2 linked regions of the Ovis aries genome follow. Each later gene encodes a partner of the first gene's protein in a complex. Links are inferred from orthologs where the notes say so. Each region holds a gene or a part of one and is shown in the gene's direction. Other genes may lie near its edges.

What was found. The genes of interacting proteins can lie anywhere in the genome.
Region 2: SART1 (region 1) and PPIH share a complex: the UniProt entries of both Homo sapiens proteins name them as parts of the U4/U6-U5 tri-snRNP complex. The link is inferred for Ovis aries from reciprocal best matches to the Homo sapiens genes SART1 and PPIH.

Annotation. Positions count from the first base shown.
Region 1 is NC_056074.1:40,509,126-40,511,596, forward strand, and holds the end of SART1 (U4/U6.U5 tri-snRNP-associated protein 1), read left to right. Parts: intron 1-102; coding exon 103-190; intron 191-663; coding exon 664-754; intron 755-829; coding exon 830-965; intron 966-1,341; coding exon 1,342-1,431; intron 1,432-1,533; coding exon 1,534-1,655; intron 1,656-1,746; coding exon 1,747-1,765; 3' UTR 1,766-1,830; downstream 1,831-2,471. UniProt on the Homo sapiens protein: Plays a role in mRNA splicing as a component of the U4/U6-U5 tri-snRNP, one of the building blocks of the spliceosome. May also bind to DNA.
Region 2 is NC_056054.1:17,161,105-17,165,536, forward strand, and holds the start of PPIH (peptidyl-prolyl cis-trans isomerase H), read left to right. Parts: upstream 1-1,559; 5' UTR 1,560-1,583; coding exon 1,584-1,649; exon of another isoform or gene 1,650-1,984; coding exon 1,985-2,049; intron 2,050-2,340; coding exon 2,341-2,364; exon of another isoform or gene 2,365-2,458; coding exon of another isoform or gene 2,459-2,481; intron 2,482-2,636; coding exon 2,637-2,681; intron 2,682-2,932; coding exon 2,933-2,975; intron 2,976-4,432. UniProt on the Homo sapiens protein: PPIase that catalyzes the cis-trans isomerization of proline imidic peptide bonds in oligopeptides and may therefore assist protein folding. Participates in pre-mRNA splicing.

The DNA of each region.
Region 1 (2,471 bases):
GGGCCTGGTACACAGCAAGGACCACAGTCCTGGGAGGGGTGGCTGTCGGGCAGGAGGGTAGCCCACTCAGCACCCCCATCATTGTGTGCTCCGCCCCCCCAGTTCTCTGCCTCCTCCACCACCATCCTGGACGAGGAGCCCATCGTGAATAGAGGGCTGGCGGCCGCCCTGCTCCTGTGTCAGAACAAAGGTAAGAACATCTCAGGCTGCCCTGCGATGGCCTGGGTGCCGCCACGGAAGGCGGGCCAGGCAGCTGCTGCCCTCCGGCCCCCTGCTCCCTTCCTCCCCGCCGCCCCCGGGCCCGGCAGTTGCGGTAGCCGCTGGCCTTTGTGCGCTGCTTCCCCCATGCTCAGTGCCTGTGCCCACACGTGCCCCAGCAGGCACCACTGCCCCTGGAGGCTCGGCCTCTCCTCTGCAGGGAGCGGGAGGAGTGGCCGCAATCCAGGCGGTGGCAGAGACCTTGGCGTTAGGATCGTCTCTGCTGTGTACTGAGCCGGTGGCCCTGGACATGTGCCTGACTTCTCTTGGGTCTCCGTTTCCTTTGTCTGCACGAGGGGACTGATGTCTCTCCCTTCCCACAGCACAGCTTGGAGGGTCCCTCAGGGGCCACCATGCTGTTGGGAGTGCTGGGCAGTCTGGGCTCTCACAGATTCCACCCCCCAGGGCTGCTGGAGACGACGGTGCAGAAGGTGGCCCGGGTGAAGGCGCCCAACAAGTCCCTGCCGTCGGCCGTGTACTGCATCGAGGATAAGATGTGAGTGCGGGCGCGGGGGCCGCGCCCTGGGAGCCCGGTGCCGGGCAGTGCTGAGGCCCCGTGCGTCTCCCACAGGGCCATCGACGATAAGTACAGCCGGCGGGAGGAGTACCGCGGCTTCACCCAGGACTTCAAGGAGAAGGATGGCTATAAACCCGATGTGAAGATCGAGTACGTGGACGAGACGGGCCGGAAGCTCACACCCAAGGAGGTGAGCGGGGCCGCGCCCTGGAGTCTGGGCCAGGGGACTGTGGTGTCCATCGCTTGGGGGCACAGCGGTCCCCCCTTGCAGGCCTGGCAGGAGGGCGTCCTTGCCTGCCTGCCCTCTCCCCAGCGGCCCCCTGAGCTCTCGGCTGGTGGCAGCTGTCCGCCTTTCTCTCCTCACTTTCTTGGAGTCTGCTGCCCCCTTGCTCCAGCACATCCTTCCCTCTCTTCGGGGGCTCCCAGAGGGTGCCAGGGCCAGGGCCATCTCCCAGCCCCTTCCCAGGCTCACCGCCCCCACCTCGGCTCAGCCGGGGCTGGGGAGCCAGCGCCCTCCCTTGCCCCAAGGGCTCCGGCGGCTCTAACAGGGTTCTGCCCGGTCACAGGCTTTCCGGCAGCTGTCCCACCGCTTCCACGGGAAGGGCTCCGGCAAAATGAAGACGGAGCGGCGGATGAAGAAGCTGGACGAGGAGGCGGTGGGTGCCCACGGGGAGGTGGCAGTGGCCTCTGGGGGTGTGGGGTTGGCGGGGACTGAGGCGCTGGGGTGCTCCTGCCTTGCTGACTGGCCCGACCCACAGCTCCTGAAGAAGATGAGCTCCAGTGACACGCCCCTGGGCACCGTGGCTCTGCTGCAGGAGAAGCAGAAGGCCCAGAAGACCCCATACATCGTGCTCAGCGGCAGTGGCAAGAGCATGAACGCGTGAGTGGGGCGGTGTGCTGCCTGCGTGCATTGGGGAGCGGGGGCGGGGTCACAGCCGCTCTGCAGCCTCACGCTCCTCTTCTTTCCGCAGGAACACCATCACCAAGTGAAGCTGGCCTCCCTTCTGATCCCTCCCCCGACTTTAATATTAAATAAAGCTCCCTCCTTATTTTTTTCCCCCTGGTCCTGGTGCAGGTTCCAGGGTCAGACCTGGGAAAAGGGCAGGCGGTGCCAGACAGAGCATGGGGGACATTGCCCTCTGGCTCCGTCGTCACCTGTGTGACCTCAGGCAGTCACTGAACCTTTCTAAACGGCCTTAGTTCTGCCGTTTGTTTGACCAAAACACCTTGCTTCATAGGGTGTCTTGCGATGATTAAGTGAGCTCATTTCATTCACTCACCTGGAACGTGGAGGTGAGCAAGGCCCCTCAGAGGTGGCTTAGGGTCTGGCTTCTGCCAGGTGAGACCGGTTGTAGGTGACACAAACGACAGAGATGCAGGGAGGGAACTGGCCCGGCTCTGCTAAGGCAGTTCTCAGCCCACGCTGGGCCCCAGCCAGCCAAAGAGAAGCCAGCTGGTTCGCTTTCTCACCCTCGCCTCCCCCAGCCGCTCCTGGCATGGTCGTACCAGTCCTGGCTGTGCCTGTTAAATGTCGCACCTTACCCTCTCCAAGGCTGGCTTCTGGGTAAGAGTTGGGAGGTGTTTTAGAGGCTCAGTCACCGCGGTCTCTCCCAGTCTCAGTGCCACAAGAATCACTGCTCACAGCCAGGACGGCCGCGGCAGGGTCTGGGGGCATCGCAGGCTCCTGTTGTCTACG
Region 2 (4,432 bases), on another chromosome or scaffold:
GTTCCTGCAGCACTCAAAGATCTGTATCAGATTATTACATATATCCCATGAGGAGGGACTAAGGCTCTGTTTTATCATTGAAATACAATTTTTTTAAATTTAATTGTAGTTGATTAACAATGTTGTTAGTTTCAGGTGTACAACAAAGTGAACTAAATTTTATTTATTTATTGCTGTGCAGCAGACAGGATCTTAGTTCCCTGACCAGAGAGCAAACCCATGTGTGCTGGAAGCATAGTCTTAACCACTGACCCACCAGGGAAGTCCCTGAACTATCATTCTGTGACTGCTTTTCCTTTGTTTTTGCATTCCCTCATTAGGAACTATTTGGATCTGCTCTTTGGAACAAGATCCAGGAGGGTCAAGTCTTTCTACAAACAAGGAATCAGGTACATAAGCAAGGGTTTTATACACAGCAGTGTCCTGCCAAGGGCCGGCTGTCTCAATGCCTTTTTCTTTGGTACTCAACAACCTTGAGGGAAACAGGTGGACAAGAAAGGGAACGTTATAGATAGGTTATTCCTAAGCTTTGCAAAGGCACCCGGTTTTTACGAAGGACCCAGCTTCATTTTCATGGAGTTAAACAAGTGTGAAGCAGCTGGTGAGGTGGGGAAACCATATAATTTTGGATGGTGAATGGCATGAAGAAAATCAGTAATCTATCCAAAAGAGTGACAGAGGGCTACTTTAGATTGGGTGCAATGTTCCTGACTAATGACCTGAGATGAGACTTGACCTACAAGACCACTCCGCACCCTCATGAAGATTTAGAAGAATATTAAAGTCAGTTAACAGGCCCTAAATAGAATCCGAGTCTCCGTGACCTAGAGGAACAGGCTAGAGTCCCAGGTAGGTGGCCAGATAATGTAATGTAGGTCTTTTATGTAGCAACTGGATTTTATTCTAAATAAGGGAATCCGGGAGTGATTTATAAGCAGATTCATTTAAAAGCTCTAGCTGCTCTGCAGTAAGTGACTTGGAGATGATGAAAGCGGAAGCTTGTGGGAGAACTGGAATTAAAGTCTAGTGCCTGACTTCATGAAAGTGCTGAATATACTGAACAAGCCTTATATGCCAGGCTGTTCAAAGCGCTGAGGATAAACACGGTTTTTGCTTCCGGGCCTCCAGACTAGTGAAAAGGGGTAAGAGGCCGCACATATGATGGTTCAGACGGTCTTGGCTGCAAAGGCTGATCAGACCCTGAAGACTGCCTAGTCCAAGCCCCGTAGCCTGAGCGAGAATCATCCGTACTGCACTTACTGTATCCAAGTGAATGAGAGGCCCGTGGGCCTCGAGCGAAAAAAAAGCCGAGGATGTCCTCCGGCCTCAGCGCTCAAGGAGACTCAGGTGAGGTAACAACTTGCGACTCGTCAAAACGGAAGGAAGCCCCGGCCACCCACGCAGCGCGCAGCTTGGCATCGAAGGCAGAGAGCTTCCGGGGGCGGGGCCGACCGCCTCCCACCGCACCGCCCCCCCCCCCGGCTCTTCCTGCGCCTGCGCCGGAAATAAACACCTCCCGGCGGAGCAAGATCATAGGATCGCCGGAACCCCGCGCTCCCGACTTCTGCTTCCGGGTCAGAGGCATGGCGGTGGCAAATTCAAGCCCTGTCAATCCCGTGGTATTCTTTGATGTCAGCATTGGCGGCCAGGTGAGGTCTTGGCAGCCAGCCAGCCCGATGCCAAAGGGAACGTGCACGCGGTCTGGCAGGCAGATCACCTCCTCAGGTGTAGCAAACTCGGGAAGCCAAAAAGTGAAATTGAACCAGAACCTACCGACCTGCGGGGCGGGGGTGAGGGAGTAGGAAGAGGAGGAGTCTTGCGCATCCTAGCGCCCGGCTGGTGGAGGGACCGGGTGGAACGGAAGAGTAGGCTACGGAGGCGGAGGTGGGAGAGACCAAGCGGCATGGGGGCCCGAGGGTTCCCTGTTCGGTGAGGCCTTCACGGGCTTGGACTGGGCTTTCTGAACGTCTCTCGCCGGTTGCAGGAGGTTGGTCGTATGAAGATTGAGCTCTTTGCAGACGTTGTGCCTAAGACGGCGGAGAATTTTAGGTAAGATGATGTTCTTTGCTGGATAAACCAAACGAGAAGCTGGGCCTGTCTGTGGAATCTTCTGCCTACCTCTATCCGTTCATTCACCGTCCTTGAGATCTGACTTCTCTGGGTATCTCTCTGAATAGTCTTGACCGTCCCCTTTTCAGTTTATGTTAATCTGTATGCCTGGACGTCTGACCAGCCAGTTGGTGGGCTAGCTAGCGCCGACGTTCCCCTTCCCGCTGAGGTTAGGGACGCTCAGAGTTGTGATGCCATGGCGACTGAATCGTTCACTCTTTTCCTTTTCAGGCAGTTCTGCACAGGAGAATTCAGGTCAGTCTCTGACGTGGTTGACTTCTCTGCTTGCTCCTGAGGGCTGTCCTGAGGCTGCAGTTGAGGGTATTGGGGAATCACCGGCAGGCCTTGTATGACTGGTGACAGTAATAGAAGGTATTACTATGGGTCTGTCCTCAGTTCATTTGCCTTCTTCGTCTCTCTTCTCCCGACCATCTTTAGAAGGGTGTCTCTGGCTCGACTGTATGGTAAACGTGAAAGGCCTATGTTTACCTGTTTACCATTTCAAGTCTCTTTCTTTTTGCTTATAGAAAAGATGGGGTTCCGATAGGATACAAGGGGAGCACCTTCCACAGGTAAGGCCTTTGGCAAGCCATCCTGGGGGACTTTTAAAATTACTATTAGTATGGTTTAGAATTACTTCCTTGGGGGATTAGTCTCTTCAGAGGAAAACAAAACCATAGCATAATTCTTAGTTCTTGAGAAGGGATGCTTTTGTGAACTCAACCATTGATTTGAGGACTGAAGTGATAAACATTATATTTTGAAATTAATGTTATTCCAAACCACACAATCTTCTCCCAGCATCCTTTGTTCTCTGTTTCAGGGTCATAAAAGATTTCATGATTCAGGGTGGAGATTTTGTTAATGTAAGTACTGTTCCTTTCCTATTAAGGGCCTATAAGTTTTGTTTTTGTTGGTTGTTGTTATTGAAGCTGCTCCTCGGGGAACTGAGAACAGTAGCCAAGTTTGCTGGGGGAGGAGGTGGGAATGGGAATATCCTGTGATGGCTGCTACTCGCTGCATCACTAGATAACATATTAGCACTTTGATTGAGTCACTCACTCCAAATCTCAGTCTTTTAGGGCTGGGAACTGACTTTCCCAGCATACCTATAGGTGATCCATGACAGACCCAAATTAACTGGGCACATGGAATTTAGCTAGAAATCAGTTACAGTTAACTTTCTCTAAATGGGGGCAAGTCCCTTTCCAGTGAGTTAAATGCTTATGCCCTGATTTCCCATTCACTTCTGGTATCCCAGTGCCTCGGAAGGTGAGTTGTTATTTTTTTAATCAAGTTCATTAGTGGGCAAGAAATCAGAGAGTTCTGGAAGGATATTTTCCCTATTCACTAGGAGAACCCATTGAATTAATCCTTCATTGCTAAGCATGATTTTTCTTGCCACTGTATGCATCCCCATTTCAAGCTTCCCAACCTTGCAGGGTTCTGAATAAACCACATTTATGCTTTCTTAAACCTACGTTTGTCCATACCCACCCATTTCTGTGCATGATCTTTCTTATTAATATCATTTGGTTAGTCATGTTGCTGTTTTCTTGGATCTGGGAGACATTCTTTATCCTTTACATGTATATTTAGTTTGACTGTTAGGAGTTTTTTTAAGATTTCTATCTTTCCTACCCAGATAAGTTTACAAAGTGGCAGATTTGGGGCTGAATCCGAAACAGATATGCTTTGTATCATCTGTATGATGTTGTAAAACTGGGAAATTTTCCGGAAAGTTCTGGAGTTTTGTTTTCTCTGTTACAACTGAAAAGTAGGGGTGCACTTGGCCTGTGTTTCTCATGTAGCAACATTTGGTTGAGTCAAGTAACAGCTCCCTTTAGACAGGTATGTCCTTATTATTTCACCACAGTTCCCACCACTGGCTTCCCTTCTTTACGTCACATACTCCTATAGGCATTTAAGTTTGCAACCCCTGGCCACGACTGATTAGAGTAGGGCTTGGGGTGACCATATCCTTTTTTATTGGCAAGTAAGAAGGGCTAAGATGCTATTCTCTGTGTTCTTTCTTCCAAAGGCTTCTATACTGCTATATTGTCTTAGCAGGGATAGGACTAACTTCTTATGGGTCATTGCTAGGCACATGTGATCACTTGCTAATTGCTCTAGAGTTAGCAGTTAGTCAGCCAGAAGGCTGTCAGGGAGAAGAAATTACTCAGAGCCACCCTTAGGGCAGAAAAAATAGAATGAGCAAGACGTAGAAGCAGAATTTGAGACCTTCTAAAGTTGGACTAAGAATATTTGCTTGTTTGTTTGTTTTAATAATGTGTTTTAAAAATTTAAAAGATAATGTATTTTT